Linked DNA regions of Saccharomyces cerevisiae S288C. The gene in region 1 interacts genetically with each later gene. Each region holds a gene or a part of one and is shown in the gene's direction. Other genes may lie near its edges.

Evidence for each region.
Region 2: mutations in NDT80 (region 1) and NMA111 together harm fitness more than expected from each alone (negative genetic interaction), as found in Saccharomyces cerevisiae (one large-scale study listed by BioGRID).
Region 3: mutations in NDT80 (region 1) and ECM19 together harm fitness more than expected from each alone (negative genetic interaction), as found in Saccharomyces cerevisiae (one large-scale study listed by BioGRID).
Region 4: mutations in NDT80 (region 1) and VBA5 together harm fitness more than expected from each alone (negative genetic interaction), as found in Saccharomyces cerevisiae (one large-scale study listed by BioGRID).

What each region holds. Positions count from the first base shown.
Region 1 is NC_001140.6:354,875-362,933, forward strand, and holds NDT80 (transcription factor NDT80), read left to right. Parts: upstream 1-1,686; coding exon 1,687-3,570; downstream 3,571-8,059. Other genes in the region: EPT1 (bifunctional diacylglycerol cholinephosphotransferase/ethanolaminephosphotransferase), read left to right, coding at 82-1,207; YHR125W (uncharacterized protein), read left to right, coding at 3,984-4,289; ANS1 (Ans1p), read right to left, coding at 4,828-5,307; YHR127W (uncharacterized protein), read left to right, coding at 6,039-6,770; FUR1 (uracil phosphoribosyltransferase), read left to right, coding at 7,241-7,891. UniProt on the Saccharomyces cerevisiae protein: Transcription factor required for successful completion of meiosis and spore formation. Gets activated after completion of meiotic recombination at the end of prophase I.
Region 2 is NC_001146.8:391,186-400,223, forward strand, and holds NMA111 (Nma111p), read left to right. Parts: upstream 1-3,499; coding exon 3,500-6,493; downstream 6,494-9,038. Other genes in the region: ESBP6 (Esbp6p), read right to left, coding at 1-982; NAF1 (RNA-binding snoRNP assembly protein), read left to right, coding at 1,707-3,185; mitochondrial 54S ribosomal protein bL35m MRP35, read right to left, coding at 6,838-7,185; protein channel TOM70, read right to left, coding at 7,499-9,038. UniProt on the Saccharomyces cerevisiae protein: Nuclear serine protease which mediates apoptosis through proteolysis of the apoptotic inhibitor BIR1.
Region 3 is NC_001144.5:901,098-907,893, forward strand, and holds ECM19 (Ecm19p), read left to right. Parts: upstream 1-1,968; coding exon 1,969-2,307; downstream 2,308-6,796. Other genes in the region: STE23 (metalloendopeptidase), read right to left, coding at 1-1,563; CCW14 (Ccw14p), read left to right, coding at 2,627-3,343; ART10 (Art10p), read right to left, coding at 3,652-5,208; ATP10 (Atp10p), read left to right, coding at 5,982-6,796. UniProt on the Saccharomyces cerevisiae protein: May be involved in cell wall organization and biogenesis.
Region 4 is NC_001143.9:656,800-664,887, reverse strand, and holds VBA5 (basic amino acid transporter), read left to right. Parts: upstream 1-4,423; coding exon 4,424-6,172; downstream 6,173-8,088. Other genes in the region: GEX2 (glutathione exchanger), read right to left, coding at 1,599-3,446; YKR104W (uncharacterized protein), read right to left, coding at 7,132-8,052. UniProt on the Saccharomyces cerevisiae protein: Transporter required for vacuolar uptake of basic amino acids.

The sequences.
Region 1 (8,059 bases):
CGTCCATTGGCTGCCTTTAAAGTGCAGAAGTCAGAAGCATTGTTACTAACTTTCAACAATTTTTATTCCTTTTCATGATAGATATCAAAGTGAAGACCGCTCGCTGGTATCGAAGTATTTCTTAAAGCCATTTTGGCAAAGATTTTGTCACATATTTCCCACGTGGATGGCGCCCAACATCATCACATTATCAGGATTTGCTTTTATAGTTATCAACGTGTTGACTGTATTCTATTACGATCCAAACCTTAACACAGATACGCCTCGCTGGACATATTTTTCTTACGCTTTAGGTGTATTCCTATATCAAACGTTCGATGGATGTGATGGTGTACACGCTCGCCGTATCAATCAATCAGGACCCTTAGGAGAACTATTCGATCATAGTATTGATGCCATTAATTCTACTCTGTCTATTTTCATCTTCGCATCCGAAACTGGAATGGGATTTTCGTATAACTTAATGTTATCCCAATTTGCGATGCTGACGAATTTTTACTTAAGTACTTGGGAAGAGTACCATACACACACATTATACTTAAGTGAGTTTTCTGGACCCGTGGAAGGCATCCTGATTGTTTGCGTTTCATTGATACTGACAGGTATATACGGAAAACAGGTAATCTGGCATACCTACTTATTTACAATTACAGTTGGTGATAAGGTAATTGATGTAGACACTCTAGATATTGTTTTTTCCCTAGCTGTTTTCGGTTTGGTTATGAACGCATTGTCTGCGAAAAGAAACGTGGATAAGTATTATAGAAACAGCACTTCTTCGGCCAACAATATCACGCAAATTGAGCAAGATAGTGCTATAAAAGGTCTTTTGCCCTTTTTTGCCTATTATGCAAGCATTGCTTTACTAGTGTGGATGCAACCAAGCTTTATTACACTCTCTTTCATCCTTTCCGTTGGTTTCACGGGAGCATTTACCGTCGGAAGAATAATCGTTTGCCATTTAACTAAGCAGAGCTTTCCCATGTTCAATGCACCCATGTTAATTCCTTTGTGCCAGATAGTATTGTACAAAATATGTCTATCCCTTTGGGGAATTGAGTCTAATAAAATCGTCTTTGCCCTATCTTGGCTTGGGTTCGGTCTCTCACTAGGTGTTCACATTATGTTTATGAATGACATTATCCATGAATTTACTGAGTACCTGGACGTTTATGCTTTATCCATCAAGCGCTCCAAGCTGACATAAATCGCACTTTGTATCTACTTTTTTTTATTCGAAAACAAGGCACAACAATGAATCTATCGCCCTGTGAGATTTTCAATCTCAAGTTTGTGTAATAGATAGCGTTATATTATAGAACTATAAAGGTCCTTGAATATACATAGTGTTTCATTCCTATTACTGTATATGTGACTTTACATTGTTACTTCCGCGGCTATTTGACGTTTTCTGCTTCAGGTGCGGCTTGGAGGGCAAAGTGTCAGAAAATCGGCCAGGCCGTATGACACAAAAGAGTAGAAAACGAGATCTCAAATATCTCGAGGCCTGTCCTCTATACAACCGCCCAGCTCTCTGACAAAGCTCCAGAACGGTTGTCTTTTGTTTCGAAAAGCCAAGGTCCCTTATAATTGCCCTCCATTTTGTGTCACCTATTTAAGCAAAAAATTGAAAGTTTACTAACCTTTCATTAAAGAGAAATAACAATATTATAAAAAGCGCTTAAAATGAATGAAATGGAAAACACAGATCCAGTATTACAGGATGATCTCGTATCCAAATATGAGAGGGAATTAAGCACAGAACAGGAAGAGGATACGCCTGTTATCCTTACGCAGTTGAATGAAGATGGCACCACTTCGAATTATTTCGACAAAAGGAAACTAAAAATTGCCCCTAGATCAACACTACAGTTCAAAGTGGGACCTCCATTTGAATTAGTGAGAGATTATTGTCCAGTCGTTGAGTCTCATACCGGAAGAACACTAGATTTACGAATTATTCCAAGAATTGACAGAGGGTTCGACCATATTGATGAAGAGTGGGTAGGTTATAAAAGAAATTATTTTACCTTAGTATCAACGTTTGAAACGGCAAATTGTGATTTGGATACTTTTTTAAAGAGCAGTTTTGATCTTCTCGTTGAAGACTCTTCAGTAGAAAGCAGATTAAGAGTGCAATATTTCGCTATCAAAATAAAAGCTAAGAATGACGACGACGACACGGAAATCAATCTCGTCCAGCATACAGCGAAACGCGACAAAGGTCCTCAATTTTGTCCTTCAGTATGTCCGTTGGTGCCTTCCCCTTTGCCAAAACATCAAATCATAAGAGAAGCTTCAAATGTTCGAAATATCACTAAAATGAAAAAATACGATTCCACTTTTTATTTGCACAGAGACCACGTTAATTATGAAGAATATGGAGTGGACTCTTTATTGTTTTCCTATCCAGAAGATTCTATTCAGAAAGTTGCCCGTTATGAAAGAGTTCAATTTGCTTCATCAATTAGCGTGAAGAAACCATCCCAACAAAATAAACACTTTAGCTTGCATGTAATTTTAGGTGCAGTGGTAGATCCAGATACCTTTCATGGGGAGAATCCCGGAATTCCTTATGATGAACTGGCTTTAAAAAATGGATCAAAAGGGATGTTTGTGTATTTGCAAGAAATGAAAACGCCTCCTCTTATTATTAGAGGAAGATCACCTTCTAACTATGCGTCATCTCAGCGAATAACTGTGAGAACACCGTCGAGTGTCAATTCCTCACAAAACAGCACAAAAAGAAAAATGCCATCAATGGCGCAGCCGTTAAATGAAAGTTGCTTAAATGCAAGACCTTCGAAAAGGCGATCCAAAGTGGCGCTAGGTGCACCGAACTCTGGGGCCTCCATCTCGCCTATCAAATCTCGTCAATCCACACCAATGGAAGCTTCGAAGGAAAATGAGGATCCGTTCTTCAGGCCAAATAAAAGGGTGGAGACTCTTGAACATATCCAGAACAAACTGGGTGCTTTGAAAAATCAATGTCCAGATTCCTCTCTGAAATATCCGAGTTCATCTTCAAGAGGTATGGAAGGGTGTTTAGAAAAGGAGGATTTAGTTTACTCAAGTAGTTTTTCTGTTAATATGAAGCAAATCGAACTGAAACCGGCACGCTCTTTTGAACATGAGAATATTTTCAAAGTAGGCTCATTAGCATTCAAAAAAATCAATGAATTACCTCATGAAAATTATGATATAACAATAGAGAAGAAATCAATGGAACAGAATTATCTAAGACCAGAGATAGGCTCACGTTCTGAATGCAAAACAAGCTATGGTAACGAACTCTCCCTTTCAAATATTTCTTTCTCTATACTACCTAACTCAGCAGAAAATTTTCACTTGGAAACTGCACTTTTCCCAGCTACGGAAGAGGATGTGCCAAGGACATTTTCAAGAATATTAGAAACAGGTTCGTTTCAAAATTATTATCAAAAAATGGATGCAGAAAATGCAGATAGGGTATATTCGAAAGGGGTCAAGTTGATTGCAAGCGGTACTCTACCATCTGGTATATTTAATAGGGAAGAATTGTTTGAGGAAGATAGTTTCTATAAGTATTAAATAAACTAATGATTTTAAATCGTTAAAAAAATATGCGAATTCTGTGGATCGAACACAGGACCTCCAGATAACTTGACCGAAGTTTTTTCTTCAGTCTGGCGCTCTCCCAACTGAGCTAAATCCGCTTACTATTTGTTATCAGTTCCCTTCATATCTACATAGAATAGGTTAAGTATTTTATTAGTTGCCAGAAGAACTACTGATAGTTGGGAATATTTGGTGAATAATGAAGATTGGGTGAATAATTTGATAATTTTGAGATTCAATTGTTAATCAATGTTACAATATTATGTATACAGAGTATACTAGAAGTTCTCTTCGGAGATCTTGAAGTTCACAAAAGGGAATCGATATTTCTACATAATATTATCATTACTTCTTCCCCATCTTATATTTGTCATTCATTATTGATTATGATCAATGCAATAATGATTGGTAGTTGCCAAACATTTAATACGATCCTCTGTAATATTTCTATGAATAATTATCACAGCAACGTTCAATTATCTTCAATTCGGCTTCAGTACTGTATGAAATACTCGCTAACATTTTCTTTATTCTATAATAGCACAGTGACACTTAAACGTCAAACGTGGCGCACATTAATATACGATGTATGCATTTGGCTTGACACTGCTGTAATAAGGAACATCATCATCCGTCAACTAGTAGTCACATTAGTAGTGTATTATCACATGGTGTGTAAGAACATTACGTAAAGATTGAAAAAAAGTCATCAAAAATAAAGGAAGCTGAAACGCAAGGACTAGTAGTGTAATAGAATAATATTGTGTAAAAGTATCGATACCCTTTTTGGAATTATTGTATCTTCGAGGGTGGCTTTTAATATATTTTTGAAAACCTAATATTATAACCTTTCACAACAACGAAATCCCAACTGTTGTGTAATAATTTTACTCAATTCTTACTATTGCTTTACCAATCCTTGTATTTGAGCTCTCATAAAGTTCGCTGACTACTTCTCACGACTCATGTCATCTCCTTATACTGTATATGATAATATACTGGTGGTGAATGACAGCAAACTCTTTCTGGAAAACTTCTTGTCCTAAAGAACAAAATCAGTGTAATGTGTAGGCCAGTGTTATGTTTTCATGAATATGACATCTGATAAGAATAAAACAACTGGTAAAATGACTGCTTTTTCGGCTTATAAAATTCTAACATGTACATATTTTTTATAAAATGAAAATACTATTGTCCTTAATTGTACAATTTTTACATTTGGAGGCCAAATTATAAAAATAATAGCGCTGCTACTCCAACTATATAACCCATGTTCTTGGATTCAACCTTCATACCAGCACCTTCATAGACAGAGACATTTGCGGTACTACTTGGGGTAGTAGCAGCGGTAGTCTCAGGTCCAGACGCAGTGGCTTGGATTTGACCATCACTGATCTGTGAAATAGCGGCATCTTGCTTTTTGCCGGGTTGATGATCTGCAACAGCGCTTCTATTGGAACGATACAATGAGCCATTCCAACCACCCACATCATATACAGCTGCATTAGATATCTTTTTCTGCTGAGCTGCTAAGGACCAAGATGCGCTGCTGTTGAAGGCTTCATCAGTCGAATTAAATTTTCCTTCTATGTACGAGTTCGTACTATTCGCAAATTGTACGTCCAACGTGTCTGAGGAGTTGCTTACTTGTGCATGTGCAACTAGAATATTGGTGATGGCAAACAATGTGGAAACTAAAGTGCACTTCATGGTAGATTAATTATGATGTTCGTTTGATTCTGTTCTATATTTTTTATATGCTGACTGAACAGATTATAAAAATTAAATTACATGAAGTATTGAAGTTAATGTTGGCTATTTTTGAGGAGGAGGTTCACCTTTATATAGTATTCCTCGAGCTACAAAAACATGGATATTTTTACAAATGCTAGTAAAAAGGAAAGAGGTCAAAAGAAACGTTTGGCATCAAAAGTAATCAAAGTGGGGTCTAGATTTATAATTTGTACTACGAAGAATCGCGACTCAAGGTACCAGGTACGACTGAAACTTTCTTTTTGGATTTTCGAAGAGAGAAAAATTAGTTAGCATAAAAAGAAATATAAAAAAAAAGGAAAGGAAAAGTGTTCGAGACTTTACCATACAAAGAAATATTACGGTAGAAAAAAGAGCTGCACTTACCCAATACATATTGATGAGGTAGTATTCACGGTGAGAACAACTTACATCAACACCTCAGTTTGCCGAATCTGCAGTGATATTGTATCCAAAGTCTACTTTTCATCCTCATTTACTGTCATTACAGAAATTTGTCAGGAAAAGCAACCGGGTAAGGGAACTTTCAGGGCCAACGCGAAAAAAAAAAAGGTCCATCCATAGATTTTTTAGAAGATACACACCGTGAATTGATTAGAGATCATAGTAACCTCAAAATATACAATGTCTTAGATTGGAGCAGGCAGAAATATCTATCAGAGCACAAAATGGCTAGAAATAGAACAACCTCCAAGAAAAATGTTCAAAGTAAACGCTTAATAGACAGAGTGGTTCCCATGGACAAGATTAAAAAAGTTGGCGTAGCGAAAAAAAAAACCGTAGAACACACTAAAGAAGGATTTAGCGTTGTCAACGGTAAGCTAGTAAGCAGCAATGACGTCGGTGTACTGTTAAGAGAAGCACAGGGTGCTATCGATAAAAGAACTAATGTTTCCCAAAGAAATAGGAAAAAGGGAATAAAGAATAATAGGCCCCACAAAGACATAAACAGCAGTCCTGACTGGGGCAATGCCCACAGAGGAACCGATTGGCAGAGCGAAAAAGCAAACGGCATGAACAGGGCCAAGAACTCTCGGAATTTTACCACTAATATTAAATTGCAGCGACAACATTTTGGCGAAGAAATACAAGGTGGCAGCCAGCTTGTGATATCTACAAATTCAGATGCTTCAGATAAATTGTTAATGCTATTCAACCTAACTTTGGGAGTAAACCAAGAAAACTTGAAAAATGTTCTGGAAAACATTTCTCAGGTGCAGATAGCTCAAATTAGGGTTAGAGACCTGCCTTCAGGATCTGCCACCGCTAAGGTCCGTCTGGCATATCCTACAACACAGTCTTTGGAGAAGGTAAGAAAACTGTTCCATGGCGCTCTAGTTGATGGAAGGCGCATCCAAGTGGTGATTGCATCTGATGAATCGTCCCACTTGTCGTATTAGAGTTTGTCAACGACACTCACAAGGTATTTAATCAGCAAAATCCCCGCCACAAACTATTTTTTTGAAGACATGCTTTCTCATGACTGCCTAATAACAATACCTCATTCTACTAGTAATCGACCTATGTAATTATTTCATAAACTATAAAGCAGGTCATTGCAATAACAGAAAGGCCGGTTTTTCTATAAGCTTATCTCATCGCATAAAAAATCGACAGTTGTAATTATCTCCGGCGGACTTTTCCCTTTCCGTCTTTTTTTTCAAAATTTTTTTTTTTTTCACTTCTTCTTTCAAAGCTGCCTCAAAAGAGATATATATATTGGTAAGAATCCTCTTCCAATACTAGCTTCATTTCTTCTTGAACCATGAACCCGTTATTCTTTTTGGCTTCTCCATTCTTGTACCTTACATATCTTATATATTATCCAAACAAAGGGTCTTTCGTTAGCAAACCTAGAAATCTGCAAAAAATGTCTTCGGAACCATTTAAGAACGTCTACTTGCTACCTCAAACAAACCAATTGCTGGGTTTGTACACCATCATCAGAAATAAGAATACAACTAGACCTGATTTCATTTTCTACTCCGATAGAATCATCAGATTGTTGGTTGAAGAAGGTTTGAACCATCTACCTGTGCAAAAGCAAATTGTGGAAACTGACACCAACGAAAACTTCGAAGGTGTCTCATTCATGGGTAAAATCTGTGGTGTTTCCATTGTCAGAGCTGGTGAATCGATGGAGCAAGGATTAAGAGACTGTTGTAGGTCTGTGCGTATCGGTAAAATTTTAATTCAAAGGGACGAGGAGACTGCTTTACCAAAGTTATTCTACGAAAAATTACCAGAGGATATATCTGAAAGGTATGTCTTCCTATTAGACCCAATGCTGGCCACCGGTGGTAGTGCTATCATGGCTACAGAAGTCTTGATTAAGAGAGGTGTTAAGCCAGAGAGAATTTACTTCTTAAACCTAATCTGTAGTAAGGAAGGGATTGAAAAATACCATGCCGCCTTCCCAGAGGTCAGAATTGTTACTGGTGCCCTCGACAGAGGTCTAGATGAAAACAAGTATCTAGTTCCAGGGTTGGGTGACTTTGGTGACAGATACTACTGTGTTTAAATAAATCACACCCGAACACCATCTTGAAGGTTCAGAACGGCTGAAGCCGCATATCAACTTTTGGTTTCTACTGTTTTAAATTTCCTTTCTCGTTTTAAACCTTTGTTGCCGTCTCTTCTACTATCAATTTTGTTGTTCATGCATGTTTAATTACCTTTTTTTGTAAAA
Region 2 (9,038 bases), on another chromosome or scaffold:
TTGCTGGAACGAAAATCAGTGATATTGAACAACCGACCATAAAACCTTGGGTGACATACAATTGCCATAACTTGGTAGTAAAGGAGGCCAAGAGATATGCGGCAAGCATTACAGCATCACCAAAAAGCATGGTGGTCCGCAGACCAATTATTCTCATCAGTGCCATCACAAGGGGGGATAAGAGTTGACCGAGAAAGACAGTTAGGCCAGCAATTAAGGCATAATCGTACTTCGAAGCACCAGGGTAAGTATCATGGTTTAAGTAGTAGGCAAGGTCGACACCGAAGGATGCGTTGCAGCCCCACGTGGAAAACATGGTCAAGAACACACAGAATGTCACGACCCAGCCATAACCACCGTCGGGGGGCAGTTCCAGCTGCCCGGTAGACTTGTTGGTGAATACTTTTTTTACAGTCGGTTCATCAGGCTCGAATTCGGTTATTCCTTGGGCCTCAAGATCCTTACCGGAGTGTTTCGTGGAAGCCGGATATAGTCTATTCCTCATGAGTTTGGAGTCCATGGAAGCTTTATGTTCTGTAGTATCATTTTGAATAGAAGAAGCAGAGAAAGCAGAGGAAGATGGTGCCGACAACGAGGCGCCTGCAGTCGTGGTGTGTGTGACTGGGATGTTTAACTTTGACTGGACTGACTCATTGTGCTGTAGCCTAATGGCATCGGCCACGTCAAATCTAGATTCTAATATTTTATTAACGTCTGCGGAATTTTCTTCCGTCTGCAAGTTGTCGTCATCGACAGCCTTTTTAATGTCGTTGAGCCGATTAGTTAACGTCCTACTAATAGACAATTTTCTCGATGCATCGTTCGACTTGGTGCTGTGTAGATCAGAGCATGGAACCGGAGCAGCAATAGAAGCCTTAGAGAATGATACAGGCTGTGAAGAGTTTATCGAAGAAACCTCGGACGATGTCTCAGAGACCATTCCGGAAGAAGCAGAAAAGTAGTCGTTTGAGTGCGTTGACATTTTTCAGATTTATTTTCAGAAGCCCCGTAATTATACCTAAAGAAAAAGTAAAGAAAAGTGGAGAAAACAAAAGAAAAAGATAAAACTTTTAAATATGTGGTGTGACAAATGCAAAATACTATTCTGACTCGCACATTTAACTAACAAAAGAAAATTTGTCTAAGTCTAGCAGCTTTGGTAGAATATAGAAGAAACAGTCTAGTTTTGGCTCCGATATGAGTGGACAAAGCATCAAGATCTAAGGAATGCCAAGTATTTATCCAGGTTCTCCCGAAGACTTTTCTTCAATAGCGGCGGGGGTTTTTTTTTTTTGCAGATTGCCGAGATAGCCCGCGGCAAAGATACGTTATCTCGGTTATCGTCGGCAAGCGCTATTGTAACTAGATATAGGAAACTGTGGTCTGCAAAGATGCGGTATAAGGCCTCCGTCTGTTCTTACTGCGTTATCAGCCTTTGACAGTTTTAGTTCGTCAGGGTCTTTGACCAAATGATAAATTCCCTGGTTTACATTTTCACTAGTTTGTTCTCGAGCAATGCTTAGTTGGCACATAAATGAGTCAGGCACTACCACTCGGGTAACGGTCTGCGCGTTTCTTTTTGCGGCCATGAAATTTTTCAGGCGATGAGCTTAAAGGTAAAGGAAAAAGATGGTAGGATGATAGGTAGGATGAAGCGGTATGAAAGTGGAAGAAGCACAATATAGCACGTCGAAACAGTGCTAATCATGAGCGATGACTTGTTTTCTAAGGCTTTGGAGAATCCCGACCAGGACTTGAACGTGGAATTGCCCAAGGATGATGTTGATTTAGGTCTTTTAGGTGATGGTGGGAACGAGAGGAAGACCGATGAACCGGTAGCAGACGCAGAAAGATCAACAGGCCTAGGATCCGGCTCTTCTGAATCCGAATCAGATTCCGGTTCTGATTCTGATTCTGATTCTGGCTCTTCAGGTAGTGAGGATGATTCTGCAGATCAGGACGTTGAAGGAGAGGACGAAGGTGGTGACGCGATTGAAAATGAAGACGAAGACGAAGACCCTTCACCTTCCGGTCCTATACTATCGAAGAACGAAATACTAGAGGAAACTGTTCCTGAACTACCGGAAGATTATGAAATTTCAGAAAAAACGATCATCACTCCTATTGGTGTTTTGAAGTCTGCATTTGAAAATAATATAATCATTCACGCCACGATGTCGGGCGAAAAGCGTGTTTTAAAAGAGGGTTCCATTTTCTGTCTCGAGGATAGAACTTTGATCGGGATGTTGACGGAGGTGTTTGGACCCTTGCAAAACCCATTTTATAGAATTAAGTTGCCCGATTCAAAAAAAAACTTATTCGATGAATTAAAAGTGCGTTTGGGTGAGAAAGCCTTTATAGTCACCCCTGATGCCCACTGGATAGATACTTTCGAGTTAAAGCGCAACAAAGGTACTGATGCGTCTAATGGGTACGATGAAGAATTACCTGAAGAGGAACAAGAATTTTCCGACGACGAAAAAGAGGCCCTTTTCAAGAAAATGAAGAAACAGCAACGGCAACGAAAGAAAAGGGACAACCGCAAACTAGCCAACGATAGTGACAATGTCAAGGTAAAGAGAGCTCGGCAGCCCAAGGCCAACAGTTTACCTAAACTGGTACCGCCGTTGGGCATGAGCAGTAATGCTCCGATGCAACATGGGTACAAATCAAGAAACGCACGTGAAAATATCAAGCGTGAATCCAGTGCTACCTCTAATCGGAATGGCTCCTCCCCAGTGCCAATCACACAGCACCACCAACAACAGTTTTCTGCAAATAATTATCCCTTCCCTCAACAACCAAACGGTATGCCTTATCCACCATACTCACCTTTCCCTCAGCCGACTAACTTCCAGTATCCACCTCCACCATTTGGGCAGGCGACACCGGCCCAATTCTCCAACACTGTTCCATATGGTAGCTTACCTCCCGCATACAACAATATGTCGCCGCCAACACAGCAGTCGTTCATGCCAATGACCCAAAGTCAACCGCCACTTCCATATGGCGTACCTCCCATGAATCAAATGCAAAACCCAATGTACATCCAACCGCCACCTCAAGCACCTCCTCAGGGAAATGGTAATTTCCAACAAGTAATGGAATTACATCAAATACTTTTGCAGCAACAGCAACAGCAACACCAGTATCAGCATCAGCATCAGCAAGATCCAAGAACCTAGAGTCACGATTGAAATATTTAATAATAAATGCTATGTATCATAGATAAACTAGAAAGAGGCAAGAAAAATTTAACAAGTTTCTTAATTGAATATTATTTTACTGTCACTACCATTATTAGACGCCATCTCAGCGTGTGACATGATAATTTTTCTTTTTTTCTTTTTTTTTCCTCAAGGCGATGATATGAAACTTTCAAAAAATTTATATGTAAATAAAAAAGTTCTACGAGGGTTTAAATACGGAAGTTTATTTAGAAGATATTTATACTCTGAATACACACGTAGAGTACAGTAAAGGTTTTTTAGATCTACTAATGACCATATCGTTGAGCAATATAAAGAAAAGAGACCATTCTAAAATTTCCGATGGAACTTCTGGTGAATCATCGCTTGTAAAAAGGAAACAGTTGGAAAGCGCCACCGGAGATCAAGAGGAAGAATATACAGACCATGAAATCATTATAGAGCCGTTGCACTTTGCTAATAATAATAACACTGTACTCACAGATTCAGAAAATTATCTAAGATGGCAAAATACCATCTCCAACGTTGTTAAATCAGTGGTTTCCATTCATTTTTCACAAGTTGCGCCATTCGATTGCGATTCTGCTTTGGTATCTGAAGCTACCGGATTTGTCGTGGATGCTAAATTAGGTATAATTCTGACCAATAGGCACGTCGTTGGTCCTGGTCCGTTCGTAGGCTACGTAGTTTTCGATAATCATGAAGAATGCGATGTTATACCAATTTACAGAGATCCTGTTCATGATTTTGGGTTCCTCAAATTCGATCCGAAAAACATAAAATATTCTAAGATCAAAGCGTTAACGCTAAAACCAAGTTTGGCTAAGGTCGGCTCAGAAATTAGAGTTGTCGGTAATGATGCCGGTGAGAAATTAAGTATCCTAGCAGGTTTTATTAGTAGAATTGACAGGAACGCTCCAGAATATGGTGAGCTGACATACAATGACTTCAATACAGAATATATTCAAGCTGCTGCATCTGCTTCTGGCGGTTCAAGTGGTTCTCCAGTCGTAAATATAGATGGGTATGCTGTGGCTTTACAGGCAGGTGGCTCTACAGAGGCATCTACTGATTTTTTTTTACCGTTAGATAGAATTCTTAGAGCGTTAATTTGCATCCAAACCAACAAACCTATCACACGTGGTACGATTCAAGTTCAATGGCTGCTGAAGCCTTATGACGAGTGTAGAAGATTAGGTTTAACTTCAGAGAGAGAAAGTGAGGCTCGTGCTAAATTTCCCGAAAATATCGGACTGTTGGTAGCAGAAACCGTTTTAAGAGAAGGCCCAGGCTATGATAAAATTAAAGAAGGTGATACTCTAATTTCAATAAACGGTGAAACCATATCTTCTTTCATGCAAGTGGATAAAATTCAAGATGAAAATGTTGGGAAGGAAATCCAATTGGTTATTCAAAGGGGCGGTGTCGAATGTACTGTCACCTGCACTGTTGGTGATTTACATGCTATCACCCCTCATCGTTATGTAGAGGTTTGTGGTGCGACTTTTCATGAATTATCATATCAAATGGCAAGGTTTTATGCGCTACCTGTCAGGGGTGTATTTTTAAGTAGTGCATCAGGGTCTTTCAACTTTGATTCAAAAGAAAGAGTGGGTTGGATTGTGGATTCTATAGACAATAAGGAAACCCCCGACTTAGATACATTTATTGAAATTATGAAAACTATTCCAGATCGTAAGCGCGTTACTGTACGATACCACCATCTAACAGATCAGCATTCTCCACTTGTTACTTCTATTTACATTGACCGTCATTGGTGCAATGAATTCAGAGTTTACACAAGGAACGATACAACTGGTATTTGGGATTACAAAAATGTTGCTGATCCACTTCCAGCCGATGCGTTGAAACCTCGTTCGGCCAAAATTATTCCTATTCCTGTTAATAATGAAAAAGTTGCAAAATTGTCATCATCGTTATGTACAGTGGCTACAATGGCAGCAGTTCCATTGGATTCACTTTCTGCTGATATTTTAAAAACATCAGGCTTAATCATTGATGCTGAAAAAGGTTATGTCCTAGTGTCCAGAAGGGTAGTTCCACATGATTGTCTTGATACTTTTGTCACCATTGCAGATTCCCTTGTAGTTCCAGCCACAGTAGAATTTCTCCATCCAACTCACAACTTCGCTATTGTTAAATATGATCCAGAGTTAGTAAAGGCTCCACTAATCACTCCCAAGCTATCTACCACCAGAATGAAACGTGGTGATAAGCTTCAGTTTATAGGTTTTACCCAGAATGATAGAATTGTTACTTCAGAGACCACTGTCACCGATATTTCCTCTGTAAGTATTCCAAGTAATTTAATTCCGAGGTACCGTGCCACTAATTTAGAAGCTATATCTATCGACTGCAACGTTAGCACCAGATGTAATTCCGGTATTTTGACAGATAATGATGGTACAGTAAGAGGTTTATGGCTTCCATTTTTAGGCGAAAGATTAGAAAATAAAGAAAAGGTTTATTTGATGGGATTAGATATAATGGACTGTAGGGAAGTTATAGATATCTTAAAAAATGGCGGTAAACCAAGAGTAAGTATAGTTGATGCTGGGTTCGGTTCAATTTCCGTTCTGCAAGCCAGAATTAGAGGTGTGCCCGAAGAATGGATCATGCGTATGGAACATGAATCAAATAACAGGCTACAGTTTATCACTGTTTCTAGAGTTTCTTATACAGAAGACAAGATTCATTTAGAGACCGGTGACGTCATTTTATCTGTGAACGGAAAATTAGTCACTGAAATGAATGATTTGAATGGAGTTGTAAGCTCAGCTGATGGTATTTTGCCATCAGCCATGTTAGATTTTAAAGTTGTTCGTGATGGTAATATTGTTGATTTGAAAATTAAAACCGTGGAAGTTCAGGAAACCGACCGTTTTGTAATATTTGCAGGTAGTATCTTACAAAAGCCGCATCATGCTGTTTTGCAAGCTATGGTTGATGTTCCAAAGGGTGTCTACTGTACATTCAGGGGAGAATCGTCACCGGCGCTCCAGTACGGTATATCTGCCACAAACTTCATAACTCATGTCAATGAAATTGAAACACCTGATCTAGATACATTTTTGAAAGTTGTCAAAACAATCCCTGATAATAGTTATTGTAAAATGAGGTTAATGACTTTCGACAATGTGCCCTTCGCTATTTCACTGAAAACGAATTATCATTACTTCCCTACTGCAGAATTGAAGAGGGACAACATCACGCACAAATGGATTGAAAAGGAATTTACCGGCAACAGCCAAAGTGAAAAATAGGCCAGATTTGATAAAACATTTATATATGTATGTATGTATGTATACATCAAAGTCTTCCATAAAGAACAGTTTTTTTATAGACTATCACAGGAGCGTTAAGATTTACAAGTTTTTCAATCATTTTGAGGGGTTAGGATTATGATGTCGAGATGGTTGCAAGCGCCTGACGAAATAGTATTTAATTACTTCAACGCTTGAATTCTCTAAGGTATTATCGATTGTATAAATTTATGGTTATTGTTTCATACTTATTTATATACATGAAGACCGAAAGCAAATACTCAAACAATTGATTTGGGGTTAACGGTGCGTTTGGTTTAGAGGAGAACATAATTATTCCACCTTCAATGATAGGGTAATAACCGCTTTAGATGCTTTGAATAAGCTGGATGGGCAATTTTCCTTCCGGTTAAGGCTTTTAATGATCTATGGGACCAGCCTATATTGCCATGTTTTCTTCCAGCTATGCCTCTTTTAAAAGTATTACCGGTACGCCTCCACCTCTTTGCTGTACCTTTATGAGTTTTCATTAAAGTTCTTATTGTTATTGTAGAAACGTTATTGAATAGAAAGCCGTTGAGCTTCACTTTGAAACTATTTGAACCTTTAAGTAGTGGTTTGAGTACATTGAAAACAGACATGTTTTGGTTTTGGTCTCCTCGTTGCCGTTTGTTATGCAAGCTAATTTTCATGATAGATATATATACTATCTTTTTTGTATTTGACCAGATTTTTTTAGGCTCCGCAAATTGGCGAGGGCTTCAAGGTTGAAAAAATTGGTTGTGGTTTATACGCACTGCTAATTATTTACAGAATGAAAGAGAAAAAGAAAAAGATATATATATATATATTAGAACATGCATACGTGTATATTGAAACAAAAATGAAAACAAAAATTTTCAAAGTGAGATGTCAATGTCATTGCTGCTCTTCCTTTGTCATTTAGTCTACTTTGTTACTTAGTTTTTGTCTTCTCCTAAAAGTTTTTAAGTTTATGTTTACTGTTTACATTAAACCCTGTTCGCGTAATTTAGCTAAAGTTTCTTGAATCTTTTTAGCCAATACTGGATCAGACCTAATTCTTTGTTGAACTTTAGCGGCTTCAGCAAAAGTAATGGCTTGTAATTTCTCTTCCATAGTTCTAGCCAAATCAGCGGATTCTTCGAATAATGTAATAGCTTCATCGATATCTTCCTGCTGCAATTTCATTTGAGCTAAACCGATTTTAGCTTGCTCACTTCTTGGGTCTAGTTTGGACGCTTTTTCTAATAAATTCGTGGCTTCAATAAAATTTTCTACTGTTGGATTTCTTGTCAACAAAGTGGCTTTACCGACCAAAGGCGCAATTCCAACATAAATACCATCCAACTTGTTTTCTAATTCAATAGCCAAATCGTACTGCTTCAAAGCCTTGTCAAAATCGTTCTTGTCTGTTAAAATTTCAGCAAAGAAATTTGGAACTTCTGGTGCCTCTGGAAATTTTCTCTTAGCTTCACTAAACAAAGTTTCACAGTCATCAAACTTGTTTTCACGGTACGCTAGACATGCTAATTGAATATAAGGGAAGATATTCTCTGGGTCTAATTCCTTAGCTTTATCAAAATCTTTTCCTGCTTGATCATAGTTTTGTAAAATGAAATTCATTTGGCCGCGGTGATAGTAAACAGAAGAATTGTTTGAGTCCAGTTTCAGCGCTTTATCGAAGTAGTTATAATATTCAGTCGAGTCATTTCTATCAGCCATGATTAATGCCATGTAGATATATGAATTGACTCTTGGGAACAATTCAATAGCTTTCTTGATGTCTTCGTGAGCTCCCAATGGATCGTTTTTCAAGAACTTGAAAATACCTGTGTGTTCTAATGAGATGGCCAATTTTTCCTTTAACTTTTCATCCTCATTGTTCTTGTCCAATTGTTCTTCAAATAACCTTGCAGCTTTCGTGAAAGACTCATCAGCCTTGTCGTAACTTTCGGGAGATCTTTTGTACAAATTACTTAAACCGTTCATTAACTCTTTATCAGCTTCATTGGATTCATCATAATTGGCAAAAGTCAACTCGGGTTTGAAAATACCAAAGAAAGAGGCCATGGATGTAACTGAAGGCAAGTTTTCCTGCTTGTCTTTGCGTTCTTTAGCTGGTTGGGTGGATAATTCAGTTGGAGTAGCAGTAGCGGTGTCAATATCGCCAAACTTTTCTTTCAATTTAGACATAGCTTGCTTATTCAAGTTCCTCTCCAACATTGGTTCAATAGAGGCGTCATTGAAGTCACCATTTAGAGACAATACAGACAAATCGAACATCGCATCCGCAAATTTTCCTAGCCCTTCGTTAGCAGAAGCTCTTCTCAGTAAAACTTTTGAGTAGTCTGGTTTTAATTCAAGAGCCTTAGTACTCATTTCAACAACTTTTTTCAAGTCACCCACAGAAACATAGCAAGCCGATAAATTCGAGTAGAAAACTGGGTCTTCTTTCAATTCTAATGCCCAATTATAGTACTTAATAGCATCGTCATATTTTTTATTTCTAAAGAACTGGTTACCT
Region 3 (6,796 bases), on another chromosome or scaffold:
GTTTTTTATTAAATCTGCCGGATAATCTACCACTTTATACGCAGTACCATACCATTTTTCAGCAGAATCTGTTTCTAAACTCCTTGAGATCAGAGTAACACGAGAATTTTCCGGGACCAGAGCGTCCGTATATTGGGTAAGCAAATCAGGTTCATATTTCGTTAACAAACCCATGGCTAAAATTCTGCTAACAGGAATGTAATCCTTTTCCAAGCATTTTGCCAATGATGAAACTGTGGAAGATGGGCTACCAGCTTGCTTAAACTTGAAGGTAGCATTAGAGATATCTTGCAGTTCATTGAATATCCATTTTTGAGGTAGTGAGTTTTTCAACATTTCAATATACTGGAAGATCAAGACAATAACATCGCGATAGTGTGTCAACCCGTTGTCTGTTAAATCTATATCGACAGCAAAAAAAGCATTTCCTTTGGACACAGTATGCCCACCAGCAGATAGCTCATTGGCCCAGCCCAATTTTTTCAAATGTGCTAGTAATGAACCGGACCCTTCATGGCCGATTAAATGACTTAATATCCTCGGTGGCTTGGACTCCCAATGTTCCTCCATATCAGGGACAGTGAAAGAGATTTCTAGTTTTTTCAAATCTTTCACAGGACGGACTTGAATTATTTTTTGCAAATGCTCAGGCTGCATAATAGGTTCCGCATAAAGGGGTACTTCACGACCGTTATTGGCTACATCCTTGAAGAGATCATAAGTCCAATCAGAGAGAGTATCAAGGTCTTCTCTACCAAGAATACATAGCTTCATTAGGTTAGCGGAGTAAAAATTCTTATGGAATTTTAACAGTTCATCTCTAACATTTAGTCCATTTTCCTTTGGCAATGTGCCCAAAGTTTCGATGTTTCCTGTAGAAAATTTGTGATATGGATGTTTTGTATTGGTCAAAGACTTGTCTAATTGGTAAATTCTCCAAATATCATTCTGTAAGTTCTTTTTGTTTTCGCTGTTAACGGCGTTGATCTCTTTATCAGTAGAGTCCTTGTTGAAAAGAGGACAAGAGAAAAACCCTGAAAACCTGTCTAGCGCACCAAATAAATGTTGGTGATTAACCTCAAAAAAATAATTTGTGTTTTGCGATGCTGTGTAGGCATTGGATGAACCACCGTGCTTGCTTAAATAGCTCGAGTATTCGTTTTCGTCTGGAAATTTCTCAGAGCCCATGAATAAAAGATGCTCGCAGAAATGCGCCAATCCAGGTAGGTTCTTTGGATCTTCAAAGGCGCCAATATTGACGTCTAGCGACGCTGCTGCTTTATCTGCTTTTGGGTCCTGGATCAACAGAGCCTTCAGCTTATTAGGTAGCTCAATAAACCGATACGATCTTTCGTCTAAATCCGGCTTTAAAAAGTCCAGATTGAATGTCTTAAAATTGGATGTCATATTATAAGGATTTGTTGTGTAATAGCGTGATAAGCACGTGAATGGCTTGAAGCGTCTTACGGTGAAATTGAGACTGATAGGTGAGAGGTGAACCAATTGAGTGAGGAGTGGTTTAGTTACAAATGCAGAAGAAGAAGCTAAAAGAGATACGCCCATACAGAGCAATATCAAAATGAGCAAGAATGAGGTCTTCCGAATGGTTGGTTCTGACTTACTATTTGATTTCACTTTCTCTGATTCATTCAGGAAGAAAAGGGCGAAGTCCTCGAAATGAAAATTTCAACATCATTAACAGACCGGCGCGCGCCTTTACAATTTAGTATGTACGCCACCAATAAAAGCTGCTTAAACAATAAGCTAGAAAGCCCAAAGGGTGTTAAATAGTACAGCGAACCCTTCAGCAACGGTACATCAACAACCCCTTGAAAAGAATAGAGACAATACAGCTACAGTCATCCCCTTCTCTTGTATTTTTGGCCACAATTGATTGTATTACATCATATTTTGCCTGTGCGCTTCTTCTATCTTTTCCGCATAAACTAGGGGAAACGCGATGAAGAAATGGATTGGCTGAAAAATACAACAATTGTAGTGTTATTCAGTCATTCAACTGACAAAAGTAACAAACACAAGAAACGTCAAGTCCAGTGCAATATGCGAAAGAACACTTTAGATATGGTCACTATAGGTATCGCATGCCTTGTGGGAGTCTACACGGGCACGAGATTTTTCGAGCCCATTGTTATCGATAGATTGCGTAAGGATGGAAACTTGAGAACGGACATTCCCATCCCAGAATACGACGAGGACGGAAATCTGTTAAAGGTCACGCCGTCTTTATCATCCACACCAGCTGCACCACCTACACCACCTACACCTCCTACTCCACCACAACAGTAAGGAAGCGTACTAGAAAATACCTCTATACTTTCTTTTCCTGTATATAGCATCAATAGTAAAGCCATTATAACGTTACAAAAACCTATTACCCGGAAAATTACTATTTATAGAAGCATTGGACCCATGCACCACATGCATTAGGACCCATTATTTCTTTTTTACAATTTTTCCGTTAATTTTTCACGAATTTTTCACCGTTTATAAACACTCTCGAACTTATAAACAAAGGGATGATAAATAGATTTCGCCAGTTGTTAATACACACAGGGTCAAAGCTCACAGCACTACTACACTCGTTCAACACTCGTTATATATTATCATGCGTGCCACCACTTTATTATCTTCAGTCGTTTCTTTGGCATTGTTGTCGAAGGAAGTCTTAGCAACACCTCCAGCTTGTTTATTGGCCTGTGTTGCGCAAGTCGGCAAATCCTCTTCCACATGTGACTCTTTGAATCAAGTCACCTGTTACTGTGAACACGAAAACTCCGCCGTCAAGAAATGTCTAGACTCCATCTGCCCAAACAATGACGCTGATGCTGCTTATTCTGCTTTCAAGAGTTCTTGTTCCGAACAAAATGCTTCATTGGGCGATTCCAGCAGCAGTGCCTCCTCATCCGCTTCTTCATCCAGCAAGGCCTCTTCTTCTACCAAGGCTTCTTCCAGTAGCGCTTCCTCCTCTACCAAGGCTTCTTCCAGTAGCGCTTCCTCCTCTACTAAAGCTTCTTCCAGCAGCGCTGCCCCATCTTCTAGCAAGGCTTCTTCCACCGAATCCTCTTCTTCCTCTTCTTCTTCCACCAAGGCTCCTTCCAGTGAAGAATCCTCTTCCACTTATGTCTCTTCGAGCAAGCAAGCTTCCTCCACTAGCGAGGCTCACTCTTCCAGTGCTGCCTCTTCGACCGTGTCCCAAGAAACAGTCTCCTCTGCTCTACCAACTTCTACCGCCGTTATTTCTACTTTCTCTGAAGGTTCTGGTAATGTTCTAGAGGCAGGAAAATCCGTTTTCATTGCTGCTGTTGCCGCTATGTTAATCTAATTATCTATCACTTTATTTCTAATGGGTTAAGGTATCTATCTTTTATATTTCTTATTTCCTCTTCTTATATGATGCGGATGATTTTATTTCTTCAAAAAACATTTTAAAACTCCTCTTTATTTCGTTATGTTCCAGTTCACTACGACTTCTTTTCTCTTAAAGAGCAAATAAAAGTATATAAATCTATATTAAATGAAAATCAAAAAAATATTTTTTCGATCAGCTCCTTGTTCTTTTCATTTCAAAGTTTTTTACATTGTTACACATGTGCATGAATATATATGTTTGCAGAATATTTTTGGCGACGCTTAACTCGCCATTTCAGTATATGTCGGTGGCGGTACATATCTGGGCAGAGCTTCAGCTTCAACGTGCTCTCTAACTTGACAAAAGATCTGAACAGGATCAATGTTTACTTCAGATTGCTTCCTAATTCCATTGATTCCCCATTCTATCAGTAGCTGTAAACTGAATGTTCTTTTTATCGTGCATGTCTTGAAACTATACAACCTATTGCCGCGATGTCTATAGTCTTCTTCATTAAATACCAACTTTCTTAAAATGGGGTGATCCTTTAACCGTAATTCACATTCAAACATAGAACCATCAAAATTTTCTCGTATTTCGTTTAAGTCCAAAAGAGGTTTATTGGATTTGAGCTGATTCAAATCAATCTCGATTAGCTTCAAAGAAGAGTAATTGCCGTTCGCTATTCCCTGAGATAAATATGTTGTAGTCTCTAGCAAGTTCAGTTGTAGTTTAAGTGGGGTAATTTGCATTTTGCTCAAACTTGCTATATTCCCCTCCATGACTACATAGACCTTGTCAAAATTTTGGCTGCCAGACCTAAACAAGTAGTCTTTCCTGTATATTTGCTTCAAATCTCGACTTCTAACCTCTATTCTCATATTGCTTTCCCCATCAGGCAACCCCATTTTATAAGTAGATGGGAAAACTTTCATACCATTTACTAGGCGAGTAGATTGTCTTGTTGATGTGACTGATGATACCGGTCTCGATCTAATGTCGCCGTTTTCTATCAATATAGAATTAGCTTGAGAAAAGTTCCTGTCACTTTTTATATATCCGACTCCATTAACGACTTTGACGTCCTTTGATGGCACCTTTAAATTTGAACTATTGAAAAATTCATTGTTGGTGACCATACTATTTCCTCTACTATTGTTACTGAAGGCATTAAGTTCTTCATTGTCATCTTCATCAGGTTCTATAATAAGATCTTTTGGCTCAGGTATAAATTCGAACGTCTCGATTTCCCTTATCAGTTTATGGAATGGCTTAAACCAAGATGAAGATTTCCCTAGCTCTAATTGAACTTGCACCATATATATAACTTTTCCAAAAGAGTAAAAATACAAATCCAGATTATCGATTTTATTAAATTCTTGCCAATGACTATTGAACGTAGGTGGGAGTCGGGCATTACTTCTTGTCACAAACGCTACTGTCTTTGCCGTATGATTTTTCAGACATTCAGGCTTTCTGGGAAACTTGTCAAATTGAAAGCTATAATTATATGAACCTGGTTTAACTTTGAACGGCTTGGAGGAGCCATCAAGAGCATTCCATACATTATCTGGAGGGAAAACTCTCTGTTCGAATTTCATTAATGTATGAAAGGATTTGTTGTCTTGGCCCGGCATCATCATGCCATTCTGTTGAAACATGTACTCTTGATCAATTTTTGTTAAGGTCTCTGAGAATCCTTTTAGAATGACGGAAATTTTCCTTATAGATAGCGCTTTTGTTAACTGAAGACTAACTATCCCTGACATTTGATCATTAGAGCTATAAAACTCCCCGTTGTACGGTGGGTTTAAGGATATTGAAATTTTTGGAGCCATGGTTTGACAAACTGTATGGTTCTCAACCTTCTCTAATCAAAAGCAGAATCTTAAATATAAACACTCACAGAATATCCGTTGGTCAATGAAGTAATTCTCCTTTGTACTGGCTGCTTTTTCTCCTCTAGTTTATGTAATTCTACTTTTGGATGGGTGCGACTGCTTTTAATTGATTGAGTGGCGGTGTTAGAAGGGCTGTAGAGTCGAAGGCTTGTTTCTCTCTTACGCACCTCTTGTGAAAAGGGCGTGCACCTTCCCCAGGACCCTCTCTCACCCTCAACCCGCATTTTGCTGAGAATTTTCACCAAGGCCCTAGGTGATATTAGATTCCACCTGACTAATTGCATTACAGCCGACCCAAGGCAATATCAGTTTAATAAAATATCATGTATCTCACCCTCTTCTTGGTATTAGTAAAGAGACGCCTGATCTTGTAACAGTGGTGAAGATTGTACTAGAGCAGAATCAAGAATTTAAAAAGTGTAAAGGCAAGGCAGAGGCGATGTACATAAAACTTCGAAGTAAGAAATATTTAATAGTTCTCGCCACATCACTATGCAGCTATATAAAAACTACTATAAACGTTTGTTTTGTTCCTTACGCACAATATCCTTGCCTAGAAATCGTTTTTGAAATTTAAATTTTTATTACCATTTATTTGATTCGCCTTCAGAAAAATATGGAAGAGTGCATATTTAAAAAGGACTATTTCAGCATATAGTAAAAGTCAGGTTATTTGTTTATTTGCGATATCAGAGTAACTTAAACTAACTATGCAGGGCACTTTTAAAAGGTTTTACCATCCCACGCTTACGCGGATGTCCTTCTTGGATAAATTCCTCAAGCCTATGATGGCAACGGCTTCCCCAAAGGAATACCAGATCAAACAACTGGTCAAGCCAATAGGCTTAACACAAGCACCAAGGAAAAGCACCAAATACTCCCAGGGGAACTCTTTGAGGGATATGTTTGATTCGGAAAAGACAAACCACAGAGTTAAAGAGTTGGCCGTTGAATTCAGCAAATCTGGACTTTATGACGTGCAAGTCTTCCAAAAGACAAAGGGGAAATTGTTTATAGCTCCAGTTTCATATTGGAAAGAAGATAAAGCTTTGTTTTTTCCTCATTTGATAGGAACGGCAATGGATGGTACGAAACAACAGAATATCGAGGATATGTTAAGGGGTAAAACCAGTATAGTGAGGTTATTTAGTACAGCATCTGGCGATAAGTTGAGTAGTTCATACTTCCAAGGAATCGTAGACGATAACAAAAAAACTGACTACTTGACTGAAGCTGATGCGCGTTTAAGTTTAAATGACAGTAACGTCCAAATCATCGAGGTCAATCTTGTAGAAAACGCTGTGAAAAGTGCTCTAGTGAAAACGCTTGCTCGTTGGGCCAATCGCGTTCCATCCTGGCGCCAGCCATTTTATTTCGAATGTTCTAGAGGCCAATGGCCATTTTCCGTCAGGGAAGAGCTCTTTTGCAATAATGTCTTTTCTGGATACGTCTTTCTTGTGGACCAGCAGTTAAAAATTAGGTGGGCAGCTTGCGGGGAGGCTACTCCATCTGAAAAGGAAGCATT
Region 4 (8,088 bases), on another chromosome or scaffold:
CATATCGTCTCGTTGAGACCGTCTAGATTCGCAAAAATAACAGAAACTTGCGTTAACATTGAATTTCAAACTCAGTTTTCCATAATTAACTGTTAAAAAAGGCTACTATAAGGGTGTCAATTACTGTTCTGTTTCGCAGGATTAATTCCGTTATGTGCTCTTGTAATTGAGTTAGCGCTTCTTATATCTCTTCAGTAATGCAGCAGTAATAAAACACATTGGCTTCGCTTTCGCTTTTTTTCCAAATCATTATCGAAGATTCTTTGCTTATGATATACTGGTGCTCGAGGATGATGAGAGGACACAACTTTTTGAGGCTTATCGTTATCGTCTGAGTCACAACAACATACATTAACTGTCCACGATTCAGGGATGTGCTATGAGTTCAACTTTCGCTGTAGTGCTGCCATTGGCGCTGCTACTGGTGTCTGGAAAAACTCCACAGCTTTCAATGGAGATGTGACTGCACGAGTGAGACATTATCTGTATTAGCTTCACAACCATACTCTGTTAGTAAGGAGCCATAGTCGACATCTGTCAACAATCCTAGGAGTTCCAGCTCAATCGGGTATGATATTATCTCTGATATCCCCAAAATACATGGCTGTATCATTTAAAATAAGTGATATATTGAAGAACAGTATATTTCAGCCTGTACAGGATCCTACTCTTTCAACAAAAATGATTTCATCAAAATTAAATCACGCTGCAACATTGGTGAAGAATCTCAAAAGGTTAGTAACGTCAATATATCGCGGAGGTAGCTATCATTGTGGCAGCTAATTTAAAGGATATACAGTTAATTCAACAAGATTTTCAAGTCCATTTCTTTTGGGCACGCTGAACACGCTCAATGTAGTACTTGTTTTGGAAATCACTCGCAGCAAGTTTAATGGGACGAATTATATCAGTAATGTGTAAATTCCGACACAATGTTCGGTTAGTAGATTTACTGCTGGATTATTGGGTTCACCCGTAGACTGTTGCCGACTCCAAGAAAACTATGATCTCAATACAGGCATAAAGAATTGTTGTATCTGTGCCCATGTGATCTGTACCTTTTTTGCGGTACCAAAATCGCATGTTGCACTCACACTACGGAACACATCAACTTGTAACGACAACAATACAAAATACCAGGAGACATATCACTTTTTTTCGCTTAGAATGATTTACAATGGCATACACTTAGAAAAGTGCTATGACATGACGCCCTTACTAGAAGTTACATGATATTCTTTTTTTTCTTTCTTTCTTTCTTTTTCGGTACAACATAATTAATGCATTCATACAGAGCGCATTTCCAGCATCATTTATTGGATAGTAACTCCTCCCGCACTTTTAATATCAATGACGCTGACTCTTTTACTGACGCTGAGTCTTTACCGACGCTGAGTTTTTACCGACGCTTGTGAAAATAAAAAGTACGACACAGCTATATGCGTCGCAAGTTCAAATGTGGGTCTATCGAGCATGTTTATCCTATCCTGTTATGTCATTTTTATCGGAAGTAATAAAAATGTAGAAATCACTTGTTTTTGCCTTTTTTGTGATTTTGCTTTCATTTTTTTTTTGCCCTTTTTTCACCAGCTTGGGGATCAACATCCTGATTTCTTGTTACTTCGATTATGTCTAAAAAGTGCCTTGATTTGAGAGAAAATATTTTCCTCATCTGGCAAGACAACCAAACCATCTTCAGTGAATTCTTCGTGTGTCGCCTTGTCTATTAGTTCCGGGTTTCTCATGAACATTGTAAACGTAAAGAACGGTACCGTACATGCCAAGCCAACCGTCATTATTATTCGTTGAACATATCTGTAAGATTCAACCACAGCATCTCTTTCCGGTGAGCCCCAAGGATAATCACTAATGAATGTATAAGGTGATGCATATGCTATTTCTGCCAATGTATCGTTTCCAAGGTTCTTGTAGAGTTGGTTAGGCATGGTTTGTGTCCATATGGCACCAGAAACGGAGGCACCGATAGCAGCGCCTAGCTTTGAAAAGGTATACTGAATGCCGGTTATTACAGCCATCCTACTATGCGTAGTCATGGCTTGCAGTATGACGATCACTGAATTGCTGCATAGGAGACCGCTCAAACCCATGATAACAGATGCAGCGATAACACCTTCATGAGACCCAGATCCTCCTCTGTATTTGTAAAAAAGGCCCATGCACACCATCCATGCAGCACAACCTCCGATTACAGAAAGTTTCAGTTTCCTTGTCTTTGCCACCAACAAACTGTAGAATGGAGATGCAGTAGCAGCAACAAAGTCAGGAAGGTTTACTATCCGAGCAGCCGAAGTGGACGATTCTTTCATCGATACCAGCAAAACAGGATACAGATAGTCGCACGAAATGAAAAAGGTGAAAAAATTGAAAAAAGTAACACCAAGGGGTGCCCAAATTCCACGATCACTTAGTAATTTGAACGGTAGAAGAGGAGATTTGGCAAATTTGGCCTCCCAATATAAAAAAATGAAAAATAAACAGCCACCTGAAACTAAAGTGGCAATTATTTTTGAATTGTGCCACTTTTGTGATGTCTCATTAGCCAACGTCAAAGGAACAAGAATACACCCTAGCGACACAGTTATTAATAATATGCCAACAATATCGAGTTTCCAGAATAGAAACACCAAATTCTCAAATAATCCGCCCGTTCTTTCCTTTCTAGCCTGTTCTTTGAGAGATCTCCACTCAGCAGTCTTTGAAGATTTGTACTTCATATAAAGAATAAGAAATATAATTGGCAAGGTAGAGAGTGGGTAAATAAAAGCCCACATTGCAATATTCCAGGACCAGTTTTTCTGAGGATTTGCTGCTGTGATAATATTGCCTGAAATCCATGGTATTATGATATATGGCCAATATGAGGCGTACTGGTAAAACATTCTCCATTTCAAGGAGGAGAAATCTGAGAGTATTAATGTCAGGAGCAGATTTGTTCCGACGTATCCACAGTTATAGAAAACCGATCCTGCTGCATACATGGTGAGACGGGTCGCCTGTGATTGAATGATGGTTCCCATTATATAAAAAATAGTTGCAACTAAAAAAAGCCTTAGTCTTCCGAAGTGGTCAGAGAGTCTAGAGTAGACAACTTGGGATCCGACACTCACAACAGCATTGATAACTTGGACAGTTGAAAGTAAGGAGTGTTCTGAATATGAGTTCGTTGCATAGCCCGTATAGGTCGATCTAAGTGTGTAGTCTAAACTAATTCCAAACCCACATACAAACGCGGTACTTATCAGTAGAATTTTATATTTCAAGGAATCAAACTGTGCAGACATAATTTCGTTTTCTTTGAGCTTAAAAAAGGTCGATGTCATAGAGTACGTGTCATCGTTTGAGTGACGTTCTCGCTCAATAATCTCACAGGACTGCCTAATTCCACTTTTTTTATTACTTGAGGCACCAACAACACTAGAACTCATCCGATAATTTATTTACTTGATTATTCTTTTTTTTTTTTTTCTCGTTCCAGTCCATAAAACTATTTTACTTTTCTTATTTATGTAAATAGTATTTAAGATTCTACGGTCGCTACATCTGCTAGAAATGGAATTACTTTAATACATTCCATGTTCTCATATATATTTTACTGACACATTTTGTCACTATTTTTTTTTTAACTTTTTTTTGGAAGTACTAAAATTATATGCTCGTAATTATTGAGTATCAAAAAAAAATAAAAAAAATTGCTGTGACGCCCCTTCAATGTGGTGTCTATACACCTGGTGACTTTAACTTTAACTTTGACCTGTCGTCGTACAATCAACTTACTTTCCGAAAATCCACAACGAACCAGTTATACCGAAGACTTTTGTACGACAAGAATACTGTACCGTCGAAACTATCTCTTTTCAAACTAATGAGTGAAGCTTGTGTTTATGTCTGTTGAAACAAGGAAAAAAATGCGGTGCCTGTCGACAGGATATGAGCACAAGTGCAAAATCATCAAAAAATTGAGTACCTAGATCCGGTGGTGTAGGACGAGCAAAGTTCCTTCATAAACAAACCGTAAGGGTTACTGATACACAATTTCCTTTGTGTAAAGAGTATTTGAGCAAATTAGTCGGCGATTGAAAGCAACACCCTTTTTTCTATATATAGTAGGTGAAAGTTAACATGCGAGTAAAAGTAGTGCCACATTTCCTTTGCAGCAGGTGCAAATTAGTACATATTTAACAGATAGCGCCGCACCTCATATGCAGCGCGTACATGATACGAGTCGACAAAATATGCAAAAGATAATAGTGTCATCACACCTTTATGAGAAGCGAATTTTTTTTTTTTTTGGTTTAAATATATATATACATATATATAGATGTATTCTAGTTATACTCATACCTAGAACTGATCAGACCAGATCATACCTGGTATAGAGCTTAATCGATAGAAATTCAAAAATATGGAGGAAACTAAGTACTCTTCGCAGCAGGAGATAGAAGGAGCATGTGGTTCAGACGCTTCATTGAATGCTAGAGGTAGCAATGATTCTCCAATGGGACTTTCCTTGTACCTCTGCCTGGCTTCGTTAACTCTTGTACTATTCATAACTGCACTGGATATTTTGATAGTGGGAACTATTATTGACGTGGTCGCAGAACAGTTCGGAAACTACTCCAAAACAGGTTGGCTCGTTACAGGCTACAGTTTACCAAATGCTATTCTGAGTCTCATTTGGGGAAGATTCGCATCTATCATAGGTTTCCAGCATAGTCTCATTTTAGCAATACTTATTTTTGAAGCCGGATCCCTAATTGCTGCCCTTGCCTCTTCAATGAATATGCTCATTTTCGGTAGAGTTGTTGCTGGTGTTGGGGGAAGCGGACTCCAAACGCTTTGCTTTGTTATTGGTTGTACGATGGTTGGTGAAAGGTCACGTCCATTGGTGATTTCCATCCTAAGTTGTGCATTTGCTGTAGCTGCTATCGTTGGTCCTATAATCGGAGGTGCCTTTACAACCCATGTTACCTGGAGGTGGTGCTTCTATATCAATCTTCCTATCGGTGGTCTTGCCATTATTATGTTTTTACTCACCTATAAGGCCGAGAATAAGGGTATACTTCAACAAATTAAAGATGCTATAGGAACAATCTCGAGCTTTACTTTTAGTAAGTTCAGACACCAAGTTAATTTTAAAAGACTTATGAATGGCATAATCTTCAAGTTTGACTTCTTTGGTTTTGCCCTCTGCTCTGCAGGGCTGGTCCTTTTCCTACTGGGGCTAACCTTTGGTGGTAATAAATATAGTTGGAACTCTGGCCAAGTCATCACATATTTGGTTTTGGGTGTCTTACTTTTTATTTTTTCATTGGTGTACGATTTCTTCCTATTCGATAAATTCAACCCGGAACCTGATAATATATCCTACAGGCCTCTCCTTCTAAGAAGATTGGTAGCAAAACCAGCCATAATAATAGTAAACATGGTAACATTTCTATTATGTACCGGTTACAATGGGCAAATGATATACTCTGTCCAGTTTTTCCAACTTATATTTGCGTCGAGTGCATGGAAAGCCGGTCTTCACTTGATACCAATCGTTATTACCAACGTTATTGCGGCCATTGCAAGTGGTGTGATTACCAAAAAGCTCGGTTTAGTTAAACCACTCTTAATATTTGGAGGCGTTCTTGGGGTAATTGGAGCAGGGCTTATGACACTTATGACAAATACGTCCACGAAGTCAACTCAAATTGGTGTTTTGCTATTACCGGGGTTTTCCCTTGGATTTGCTCTACAAGCATCGCTCATGAGTGCACAGCTTCAAATTACCAAAGATCGTCCAGAAGCTGCTATGGACTTTATTGAAGTAACAGCTTTCAATACATTCATGAAGTCATTAGGTACAACTCTTGGTGGTGTGCTTTCAACCACTGTTTTTTCCGCCTCCTTTCACAATAAAGTATCACGAGCTCATCTAGAGCCTTACGAAGGAAAAACGGTTGATGACATGATTTTGTATCGTCTTCAAAACTACGACGGTTCTCATTCGACTATTGGAAACATTTTAAGCGACTCCATTAAGAACGTATTTTGGATGGATCTAGGGTTTTATGCCTTAGGATTTTTGTTTTGTAGTTTTTCATCCAATAAGAAATTAATCATACCAAAAAAGGACGATACACCAGAAGATAATTTAGAAGACAAGTAGCGCAGTTATTTTCTTATTTTCATTTTATTTTTTTTCGCCTTTTATACAGACTTCAACACAATCAGAATCAAATAGGTGTATCGCAATGGAATGTAATTTCTTAAGTATTCTATATGTACTTAAAACCTATTAATATATGGATCAGTAGTTCATAAAATTCATGCTGGTGCGTTCAAAGATGTGTCTTTAGTAAGAAATCTGGAAAATTCGCGAGCCTGAATATACTCATCGCAGTGCAAGAAAAAGGTTGTCTTCTTTTCTTTTCTTGACAAAAATGCAGCGATAACCTGTAAAGAGAATCTCAAATAGACACATGATAGCAGCTGCGTAATAACAGACCTCAACCGCAATCACATTAAAGGCGTAAGCAAATTTGGCCAGCAAAATTTTCGTTTGTTCCTCGACATAAATTCTCATCAGAAAAACTGTTTACTGTCAGTGCTTTTGTCTTTGCCGCCAATACGGCAGAGAATTACATAGTATACTACGATAAACTTCTATAAATTTAAATATAGATAAAAATAGCACGATATGAACCACGGTACTCTCCAATAGTATACTTGCGATAAAATCAGCAGCTAAGTACTGAATAAGCATTTAAATTATGGTATTTTTTTTTTGCTCCTGCTGAATATTCGGGATTCTTAACGAGAGAGTTTCTTTTGTGATGATATAATATTATTTTCTAGTATAAGTAAAACTATCAAAAAAAAGTAATAATAACGTAGCTTGTTTATATACCATAAAATGTACCAGCAAAATTTTGTTTGGCACAGACAGGTTCAAAGGAGTTATTTCTTAAAGTTCTCAAAAAAAGTAGTGGATTAGGACATATAGCCCTGAAAAGTTAAAAGCGACTTCCTGAATGCCTTCTAATTACACACAAATATATGACGTAAGCAGATCGTATACTTCGTAGCTAGAACTGGAATGAATAAAAATAGGAAATTCTAGTTGTCTTATCTTTTATTATCGAATGAGACTTTAGCCAACTCGAAAAGGTTTTCGAACTCGCCACTCTGCCTACAGAGGCGGTAAAAAATGGTATTTCGATCAGATATTAGAGTGTATGGATGATCATACTCCTTGACTCTGCCCATTTCCATCACCAGAATTTTGTCATAATCTATTACTGACCTTAATCGATGAGCAATAGTCAAAATTGTTGTATTTTTCATTGTTTCTCTTATAGTTTTCTGAATTTTAGCATCAGAAATATAATCTATTGAGGCGGTTGCTTCGTCAATTAGCATTATATTACGTGCACCAAGCATGGATCGTGCCAAGCACAAAAGTTGTCTTTGCCCTTGAGATAAGTTTGAACCACCTGATTTCACAACAGTATTCAAATCAATGAATCTATTTCTTAGTTTATGACTAGAAAAATTAGGCTGCTCTTGCTCAAAAATCAAGCACAATTCATCGCATTCTTCAATTAATCCCACTTTGGATAGTACGCCATAAATTTGTACATCAGAATACCGATCGAAAGGATCTAAATTAGATCGAACAGTTCCATCAAATAAAGTAGGATCCTGTGGGATGCAGCTTATAGAATTTCTTAAACGCTCTAAAGGGATATGTTTTATGTCTTTGTTATCAATAGTAATCGTACCGTTTTCCCAGTCTGAAAGCCGGTAAATAGCCGCTATAATAGAAGATTTCCCAGCCCCTGTTCTACCAACAATACCAACTTTTGTTCCTGCTTTTACCTTGAATGATACATTATCTAGTGCCTTAGAGGAATGAGGAGAATAGCGCAATGATAAGTTTTTTAGTTCAACATCTCCTGTTTGAGGCCAATTAGCTGGAGGTGATATGTAGCCGTTTGATTCGGAAGGTATATCTGTATATTCTTTTATTCTCTCTACTGAACTCATCAAAAGTTCAACGCTTGAAAATACTTTTATGATCCA